2 linked regions of the Cricetulus griseus genome follow. The protein of the gene in region 2 purifies or fractionates together with the protein of the main gene of each other region. This does not show direct contact. Links are inferred from orthologs where the notes say so. Each region holds a gene or a part of one and is shown on either strand. Other genes may lie near its edges.

The links. Proteins that work in one complex are often made in the same cells at the same time.
Region 1: the proteins of Iqcb1 (region 2) and Exoc1 purify together in Homo sapiens (affinity purification with mass spectrometry; 3 studies listed by BioGRID and IntAct, counting the BioPlex papers as one, with this or other methods). This does not show direct contact. The link is inferred for Cricetulus griseus from reciprocal best matches to the Homo sapiens genes IQCB1 and EXOC1.

Annotation. Positions count from the first base shown.
Region 1 is NW_023276807.1:142,974,133-142,979,087, forward strand, and holds part of Exoc1 (exocyst complex component 1), read left to right. Parts: intron 1-2,485; exon of another isoform or gene 2,486-2,693; intron 2,694-3,416; 5' UTR 3,417-3,426; coding exon 3,427-3,550; intron 3,551-4,502; coding exon 4,503-4,633; intron 4,634-4,955.
Region 2 is NC_048597.1:53,158,859-53,164,465, reverse strand, and holds the start of Iqcb1 (IQ calmodulin-binding motif-containing protein 1), read left to right. Parts: upstream 1-1,746; 5' UTR 1,747-1,883; intron 1,884-2,326; exon of another isoform or gene 2,327-2,352; 5' UTR 2,353-2,427; intron 2,428-5,412; 5' UTR 5,413-5,432; coding exon 5,433-5,532; intron 5,533-5,607. Other genes in the region: Eaf2 (ELL-associated factor 2), read right to left, coding at 1,449-1,554. UniProt on the Homo sapiens protein: Involved in ciliogenesis. The function in an early step in cilia formation depends on its association with CEP290/NPHP6.

The DNA of each region.
Region 1 (4,955 bases), on a different chromosome or scaffold from region 2:
GAGCTGTAATGTCATATCCTGGGCCTAGGACATATTAAGGGGTGAGCTGGCTAGTTTATGTCAACTAAACTAGAGTCACCTGAAAGGAGGGAACCTCAATTAAGAAAAGGCCTCCATTAAGATTGGACTGTAAGGTATTTTCTTAATTAGTGATTGATGGGGGAGGGTGCAGCTCATTGTGGGTGGTGCCATCCTAGGGCTGGTGGTCCTGGGTACTATAAGAAAACAGGCTGAGCAAGTCATTAAGCAACACCCCTCCAAAGCCTCTCTATCAGCTCCTGCCTCCAGGGTCCTGTCCTGTTTGAGTTCCTGTACTGACTTCTTTTAATGATGAACTGTGATGTGGAAGTGTAAGCCAAATAACCATTTCCTTCCCAAGTTGCTTTGGTCATGGTGTTCATCACAGCAATAGTGACCCTAACTAGGACAAGGACTTAATAACATGGACACTCCATAATAGAGTGGAGGTTAGGGTAGGAGAATGTGGAGAAGAGAGAGAGCACTAGGAAGAATTATGCTTCCTGGTGCGTTCTCTGTGGGGCAGGAGAGGAGACTAGAGTTGAGGATAGGAGAGTAGTAAGAATTTGCAACTAGAGTCATTAAACTGGGAAAGGAATTCATCAGAGGTAGTGGTAAAGAATTGTTGGGCGGCTTGAAACCCCAGCTTGGACTGGGTTTAGATATTGGCAGTGATGCGACACACACAGCTTTTTCTGCTGGCTAGTGGCCTTAGAGAAGTAAAGAACAAACGCTGTTTATGGAGATTGATGATGGAGAATAAATTGGCCTGCAAGTATGGTTAAAATGATCAAAGGGGATAGCTACTGTGGGTATAGGGAAATGAGTGCCACCTCCAGGCTGGCTTGGGAAAGAAGTTAGACACCTAAGGCTCGCGATGAGGTGGATGAAGGATGGAGATGGAAGGTGTAGGTTAGATGAGAAAAAGTTTTGCACTTGGAATATGGATAGAAGCTTCACAGAGTAAAGTGTAGAAGAGGCACAGTTTGTAGGATTTCTACAAAGAAGTCATTGTCCTATAAAAATTTAATTAAAGCTCATGTTTTCTTCCTTTTCCCATCGAAAGAAATGGTATTGTAAGAAATTAATCTCAAAGGCACATTTGCATTGGAAAATAGTAGATACATAAAAGGAAAAGCATTTAAATTATTCTCATTAACAATTGAAGTTTTTTTAAGTAAAACTACTTTATTATTTAAATCTAGGCAGGAATATACAATATCAAAATTTCAGGAGAAAAAATTCTGAACATTAAGAGTAAGTGTAAAAATGTTCTAATATGCTTATATTCTCCATTTGCCTTTTCCTTCATTCATTCACTGTATTGTGGGGCACTTCCCATAGCTTTTTAAAAAATAATATAAAACTATTCTGTATTTTATTCAATATTTAGGTTTTAAACATTTTTAACATTTTTTATTAATTTATTTTTTACATTCCAATCCCAGTTCCCTCTCCCTCCTCCCCTCTCGATCTCCCCCATCCCTCTCCCCCAGTTCTCCTGTCCTCAGAGAGGGTAAGGCCTCCCCTAGGAAGTCTACTAAGTCTGTCCCATCATCTCATTGAGGCAGGACCAGGGCACCTCCCCACCCCCAGACCCCTGTGTCTAGCCTTAGCAAGGTGTCTCTTCATATAGAATAGGCTCCACTAATTCAGTTTGTGCATTAGAGATAGATCTTGGACCCACTACCAGTGGCCTCATATATTGTTCCAGTCACACCATTGTCACCTGTATTAAGGGAGTCTAGTTCAGTCTTATGCAGGTTCCCCATTTGTCAGACAGGAGTCAGGAAGATTTTTTAAAATTAATTTAATGTTTGAAGAAAGACTGAATTAGATGAGAAGAAAAGAAATGGAAAGCTACTTTTACAGTGATCTTATGTGTAATTCACTTATAAGATTTCCCCACTTGGTGTCCTATCATTATTTAGTATATTCACAAGTTTTTACACCATCAAACTAAGTGAAGAACGTTTTTCTCTCCCCATTAGCAGCTGTTTCTACTTTTCATTGCCATCTCCTAGCAACTGCTCATCTTTCTGTCTTCATGAATTTTTTTTTCCCCATTTCATTATCTGTCCATTGATGAACATTTGACTTGCTCCTACTTTTTGGCTACTGCAAAATGTAGTTCACCTTCTGTGTCTGCAGGTTCCAAATCCATTCATTGAACCAGCCACCAAATGAAGATATTTGGGGGAAAATGGTTTTTGTGTTGAGCAAGTATGGAGTTGTTTTTTGTTGTTGTTGTTTTTTATCTTTAAACAATACAAATAACAAGCCTTATATAGCATTTGCATTGCATTTGGAATTGTAAATAGTCTAGAGATGATACAAATCTGTAGATTATATTCTAGCATTCTATGTTAAGGACCTTAGACATCTGTGGGTTTGGTATCTATAGGGGGCCCTGGAGATGGTGCCTCCCCACATATACTGAGGTTGGTTGTCATGTTTCTGTGAACACTCACATGTGAGTTTTTCTGTGAATATCTTTTCATAATTTCTTTTGGGAGCTGTGTGCTAGATAACAATGGTAGTTGCATGCATGACTTTGAAGACCCCACCAGACTGTTTTCTGAAGCAATCCCACCAGCTGTATGGAAGAGGCTCCTTCATCAGTACTTCTGTTGCGATCCTTTTGATCCTTTTTAGCTTCCGAACATGTGAAAGTAGTAGGTATCTCACTGTGGATTTCATTTGTGTTTCCCAAGTGGTCTATGATATGGAATGGTTTTGGTTTCTTTTATGAGTCTGCCAAAAGCCAAAGAGCAGCTCCATACAGTTTTCCTTAAGGCATCATCCATCCCCTCCCCCTTTTTTAGACATGGTCTCTCACCAGACTGGCACTCCACAAATAAGTGAGGCAATGGTCAGTGAACCCCAGGGGTCTGCTTGACTCTGTCTTCTCAGTGCTAGGTTAAAAGCAGGGCTCACCATGCACTGCTTGTTGTGTGAGCTTTAGAGGTCAAACAAGATGGGGCTTGTGTCATTCTTGTGAGGAAGCGCTTTACCAACAGAGCTATTGCCCCAGCCCAATACTGAACACTTTTTTTGTATATTTATTGACTATTTGTATGTGTTGTATGTGTTTGTGTGTGCATATATGTATGTATGTGTATGTATGGATATGAGTATATATATGATTATTTGTGTCTGTGTTTCCACTTTAAGTGTTGTTGAGCACTTGGAAAGATTTTTTTACTGTGACAATACTAGTTTTTTTCTGATTCATTTCCAAACTTGTAGCCTCATGCTTTTATGATGTACATATATTAATATATTTATGTGTTTACTAATGAAGACTTAATCATTTGAGTTGTAAATGGAACAGTTTATGAGGGAAGGCAGAGATTTTGATAATGAGCACAATACCTCTATCCTAAATTCTTTTTCAGCTGAGAAAAGATGACAGCGATCAAGCACGCGTTACAGAGAGATATCTTCACTCCGAATGATGAGCGCCTGCTGAGCATTGTGAATGTCTGCAAAGCAGGCAAAAAGAAAAAGAACTGTTTTCTGTGTGCTACAGGTGGGCATTTTTTAAGCAAAAATATGTACTTGATAATCCTTCATTCCTTAGGGTCATTTCTTTCTTTTAAAAGTATTTTCATTGTTTCTATAACTGGAGAAAATTATTGAACTGACAAATTAATTTTTAATTGTTTCTATTGAATATTTAGTGTGTGTAAAAAAAATTTTATATAGTGTAAGATGAGAGCTCCAGTATCTTTGAATTGCCATCGTCTTCCTTACTCCATTCCACTTTACAGCAACAGGTGTCTGGTCTCCTGAATCTTACCATGTTCCCCATGTATGATTTCCAACTATATATTATTTTGTTTTGCTTATCTTTAAACTTTTAATTAATTGAATTATAATTCTTTGTGACCCCTCCCATTCAACAGTACCTTCATGAGCATTTTGTTCATAATTGTTATTGTTTGGAGAACCATTTGCTTTTCAAATGTATCAGCATCCATTCCAAATCTAAACTCCATTTGTTGCCAGAGTCATGTTTTGAAACTAGAAACTAGAGCATTCTGTTTCTGTAATAGCAGCTCGTACTGCCTTAGATGGAGCCCTTGAAGAACTCAGCACCGTCTTTTGTGGTAATTTCATTTCCATCCACCTTCTATTACACTGTGAGGCCTGCATTGGATCATTTCCTCTTGCTCTTTGTGATGACATTAGGCTCTTTCAGGACTCTGCACTTACACATGTCAATCATTAAATTTCCCTCCTACGCCCTTTAAAACAGGTCCTAAGCTATACCTCTCAAGGCATCTGTCTGCCTTTGACCTTCTAGTCTGATTTAGATGCTTCCTTTAGGATTCTGTGAATTCCTCAGTTGACTTATTACAAAATATTGCACTTATTTTAGTGTCACCCTACCAGGCACCTGAAAGTGACATTTACAGTGAGTGAATGAAGATGAGTAGATGACTAAAATTGCTAACAGTCATGTGTATCTTGTTCAACAGTGACAACTGAACGCCCCGTGCAGGTGAAGGTGGTCAAAGTCAAGAAATCTGATAAGGGAGATTTCTACAAAAGGCAGATTGCTTGGGCCCTTCGAGACCTGGCTGTGGTAGATGCCAAAGATGCCATCAAAGTATGTTTTCCATAGTCCTTGGACTTGGGGTCAGAAAATGTCTTTCATGTATCCGTAGTATGGTGTGCCCTGAGATGATCTGAACTTGTTCTGTGACTATAGGCCTGCTATCTGTTGGACTAAAATACATGAATCTCCACCTCTTTACCCCCAATGTTAAACTGCTTAAAATAACTACATGCGCATGTGTGGTTCAGTTTTTACTTTGCTAAAATTACAATTACATTTATGTTCAAGATACATAAACTAGAGCAAAATAATCTTAATACTATGTGTTTATTTAAATATGCTTAGAAAATTCTATAAACTAGTATGGATTTTA
Region 2 (5,607 bases):
TGCATACATACGATGTACATATATACACTCAGGCCCACATATACACATGTAAAATTTAAAATAATATAATCTATCTCTATATAACTTTTTTGTTATTTTAAACCTTGTAGCTTGAAAAATAAAATATTACTGCATATCTGAGAAGGAAGAGGAAAGGACATGCTACTTGGGGAAAGGGCATTGAGAGATCAGATAAGAAGAGTATGTTACTTTTGGAAAATGAAACTGAAGAGGGAGGGAGGGAGAGAGAGAGAGAGAGAGAGAGAGAGAGAGAGAGAGAGAGAGAGAGAGAGAGAGAACACAAGGACCTGCACAGCACTTGCTCCTGTTTCATTTTGGGAAGTCGTCTGAATTGTCATCAGGGCAAAATAAACAAGGGACATCATTGGCGCTCTGCTGGTAAATCTCTCCAGTTTACTCCACCAAAACATGCATAATAAAACCTTTTAATAAAGTGTAAACATATCATTTGAAAATTAAAACCATTGTTTCTTCCTACATCTCCTCTGAGTTATTATAGTTAGATTGTTTACAACTTAAACTTTGAGGGCTGAGTTTAAATAGGGTGTTTTCAGAATATAAACTTTATAAGAAAAAGGACAGAATGATTGAGGAAGGTAAAACAATGAGACAGTAAAGAACACCTGGGCTGGAAAAAAAAAAAGATGTGAAAAAAAACTCTTCACAATTTGTCACACACACTCACACAGACACACACACACACACACACACACAGGAGGTCACGACTCAACGATGTTTCCTTTATGCTCTAGAACTCTGAGGCCTATTATGCAAAAAAGAAATTTTACATACAAAAGTATGCTATATTTTTTCGTACTGGCATCTATATCATGTAATTACTAAAACAAAAGGCTCATTGTAACCAATTTTCCAACAATATTAAAGATAACTTATTAAAACCTCACCTTTCAGTTTTTGATAATCAGTACTTAGCTGACCATGAAATTTGAGATCTAAAAAAAGATACAAACTATTGAGATAGCTGACAGTCTCTCCCCACAAACTAAAACGAGAACCGTCATCAGAGGACAAGTGAAAATGGGGAAGAAATGTCCCTGTGGCCTCTAAACATCCCTTTTGCCCCGCATTCGGTCCTTTGTTCCATCTGTCTGTCACCTTTCCTCGCTGCACCATCCACTTGTCATGCTAGTCTCCACAGCCACCCCTACAGATCTTCCCCACAAAACGTCCTCTCCTGCCTGTCAGCCCCTCTTAAATCCTCCCAGGGTTCTCCTACACCTGCAGGACACCAGGTGTCCGCGCCGAGACTGGGAACCGTGTAGTGGATCATGCTGCCATCGGGTTTCCCGGTGCGCAAAGGGCCGCGGGGACAGAATTACAGAATTCCGAAGCGTCTGCTTCCATGTCACCCACCCACACAGCACCCAGGAGGTTCCTCCCGGGTACCCCGAGCAGCCCGCACTCACAGCGCACGGTGTGGAACGCACAGCGCGGCTGCTTCTCGAAGCTTTCGCCTAATTTGAGAACCCGCTCGCGACGGTCCAGGTACGCGAGTCCCGCTGGTCCATTCATTCTCTTTCTCTGCCACCCACTTGGCCTTCGCCACCCGCTGTCGCAGCCTTCCAAGCAGCTGCACCGGCCGCGAGCCTGAGCTCGGTCCCTGCCTGCGGGCTGGGATCTCCGGCGCGTGCGCCCGCCCCTTGGAGGCCCCGCGTCCTGATTGGCTGTCTGGAGACAGCTGCCACGCCCATCCCCTGCGGTCCCGCCCCGCCCCTAGCCCCCCTCTCCCGCCCTTAGCCCCCTTCCCGCGTCGCGACGCACGCAGCTCGGCGAACGCAGCCGTGCTGAGGTGCGCGCTGCGGGTCTGGGCCTGAGGTGGACGAAGGCGAGGCGAAGATGAGGTAACAGAGCTGAGGTGGCGCCTGGGATGGCTGAGGCATCCAGGGGGCGGAGAAGCTAGGACGCCAGGCTCTTCGACCTAGTGAACTGGCTGGCGGGGCCTGGTGACCGGAGCTGGGCCTCCTCCGCGCCTGGCCCGCAGGTTTGGAAACGGACGCCTGAGGAGGGGCGGCGGCTGGGCCCAGGCCTGTGGCTTCCCGAGGCCTAGTAGCTCCCGGCCGGTTCTAGAACCCCAGCCGCTACCCCGTCGGTGCCCTGACCAGACTGGAAGCCACTGGAAGTGATGCAGTTCCCTTGAGGGCCGTTTTTTAACCTTTAAACACCACAGGCCTTTTCCCGCCAGGGTTAGGGTCTGAGGAGGGAGCATTTCGGGGCGGGGCGCGGGGCGCGGGGCGCGGGGGGCGGGGGGATGAAGCTTAGGACTAGGGGTAACTGACTGCATTAGGTTTCTGGCATTTGTTTCCATCCTAGTGATTCCTGGAGGCAGTGAAGGGCACGGCCTGGGACTCTTGATTCCTCAAGGATCGGCCTAGCAACAGAGTAAACGTATGAATTGATCAATAATTGTCTTTTTTTTCCCTTTCCTCTTGACACTTCACAGCATCATTGTAAAGTGAGAGAAAGCATTCATTATGAATGTTAGAAGGGAATTCAGTAAAACCATGCAATGAGTTGCTCCAGCAGATGATTTTTTTTTTTTTTCAGGCTAATTGTATCATTCCTCCACTTCTACCTTAAACAGATATGTCAATGTATTTTTCCAGGTGGACAGGTGATTAGGTTTGCCTTCTACCCTCTAAAGGTGCATGGAGACTGTTTTATATGATAATTAGACACGAAGGTTTTGGAGCCAGAATCTCTGAGCTTGTACTCCAGTTTCATTGTAACGCTGTGACTTTGTGCAAGCAATTCAAACAAACGCGTTTATCATTAGAATCATTAGAATTCGGGAAGTAATGATAATAGCTATGCAGAAAACAATGCCCCTCCTTTAGAATTGTTGAGATGGTTAAATGAAATACATGCAAGCAAGTACAATTATAGGGCATGCTTATTTAGGATTCAGCTATACTTTCGTATTTTAAGACATCATTGGTGGCTACCTTCTAAATTTTGAATTGCAGGGCCTAGGAATAGCAGCTTTGCTTACAGATGGAAATATTTGTTTTGAGAAGCTAAGATCGTTGACTTTTGGCCGTCTAATATCAAGGGGCATTTGTTCTGTGGGCCAAATGAGTGCATACATACTTACTTGCACATGGATTTCTATTGCAGTATTGTATATAATAATTTGCAACCTAAATGACATCCAGTGAATGAGATGTTTAAGTATATTTCAATGCACTCTCACAAAGAACAGATAGGATAATGCAGACACTGGAAAGAGTAAGATAATTAACATGCATTCTATAGGAAAGTTTTGTATCTTCTACAATGCTAAGTGTTTTATTGGTCTTTCTTTAAAATGGCTTCAGTGAACTTGTCTATGAATGATTTATATTTTTCCCAAGAAGAAAGATGATTTTTGAATGACTATATTGCAGCCAACTTGTAAATACAAAGATGGGACCATAATGTCAGTCAGAATAATAGCCAAGAAATGAGTTAGATTATTTGAAAATATCTTTTATGTTTATAGTTTTACCTGGAAGAAAAAAAAATGAACATTGTAATTAAAATCACAGGCTTTGATGGATAATAGTGGCACACGCCTTTAATCCCAATGCTTGGGAGGCAGAAGCAGTCAGATCTCAGTGAGTTCAAAGCCAGCCTGGTCTACAAAGCAAGGTCCAGGACAGCCAGGACTGTTATACAGAGAAATACCGTCTTGAAAAACCAAAATAAAATAAATAAATAAATAAATAAATAAATAATCACAGGTTTTATAGCTTCTCGGCTTTTTTTTTTTTTTTTGGATAAGAATAAGTGTAAAATCACAAGATTTGTAGTTAGACTGATATCTAACTAATGCTACCATATATTGGTGGAGCTGTGACAAGTTTCTTCAAGTTTTCTTTTTTTCATTAATGGTTTTTCTTTCAAGATGGTCTCATTATGTAGCTGTGGTTGCCCTGGAACTTACTACATAGACAGGCTGGCCTTGAAATTACAGGGATCCACTTGCCTCTGCCTCCCAAGTACTAGGTTTAAAAGCATGTGCCACTATAACCAGATAAGTTTTATTTATTTTTTAACTGCACATTGGAGATGATTATGGGCACTGCTGCATAGTCCCATAATTTTATCCCATTGTGAGGATAAAATAATGCTTTAAAACCTACTTAGCACAGGTCCTAGCCCATAATATATATTATCCTTTATTAATTAAAAATGTTTTATATTAAATGATACTATTAAGCTTCAAATACTTTAGTACATATAGAGAAGTTTTGGTAAGAAAATTCAGATGTGGACTTTTTTTTACATTTTAGAGTTGATTCAATATAAAAAATTTTTAATTTTCTTGTAATTATATAACCTTTCTGAGGCCTAGTATGTTAGAGCTTTCCAAACCATCTCCAGATTTAGTGATTAGGTAGAAGGGCTTACAGGACTCAACTCATGTATTATCTTACTTGTTAGCTATAATTTGTAGTGAAGATAAGCAAAGCAAAGTTATCAAAGTCAAAGACCATATGGGATACATCCAGAGGAAACCAGGCCTGGTCTTCCAAGATCCTTTCCCATTAGAATTACATAGGACACACACAATTTCTCAAGCAAAACTGTTGTGACAACACCTTTAAAGTGTTTTCTACTAGGGAAGCTTATGAGATACTCAGTGACTAGAATTTTTGCTGGTTTGTGTGTTGAAAGATTGGTCCTTGATATCAATGATGAGAAGTGGTGGAATCTTGAAGAGGTAAGGCCTAGTGGGAAATAATTGGTATCACCAACCTTAAAAGATTTGATATAGTTTCTGTAAAAGTTTTGATAGTCCTTAAGAGAAGATTTACAAAAAGTAAGCTGGCCCCTTCTCAGTCTCTCTTGGGTATCTTTTGCTATCTGATGTCTTCCATGCATGCTATGATACCATCTGTCATATGGCAAAGCCAAGACAGCTCTCACCAGAGCTAAGCATGGCACAAGACCCTTGAACTTTCAGAACTGTGAGCCAAATAAACTTCTTTGTAAAATACTTCATCTCAGGTATTTCATTAAGTATTGAAAATCAGAGAAATAATAATTTTTGGGCTCTATAGGAAAAGCAGATTGTTTACCACAACCATTATTTTTCTAACAGTTTAGGAACAGTGATCTATAGGCTTATAAGAAATCAATAAAAATCCTTCCAAAGTCTGCATTCTAGATAATAGCCAAGGGCCAGCCTTGTAAACTGACCTTTGAAGAAATAGCTGTATGAAGCCTGACATATCAACTCTTCCTACAGTCTGTTTCTCCTATATGAATTCTATCCTAGAATTGTGTAGAGAGGGTGAGTGTAAAGCTAGCACAGTTTCTGATCCTTTGGATATTTGACCTTTGAGTTTTTGCTTGTTTGTTTTAACTTTTTTTTCTGTTAAAATACAGGTAGTAGGAAAAAAAAAAAAATGAAGCCAACAGGTACAGATCCAAGGATCTTGTCTTTAGCTGCTGAAGTAGCAAAAAGTCCTGAACAGAATGTCCCTGTTATATTGTTGAAGTTAAAAGGTAAGAAAATACTTAACATAGTTAAGAAAGACATTAAGTAAATACTGGTTCTATTATGATATGATGTTAGTGTTC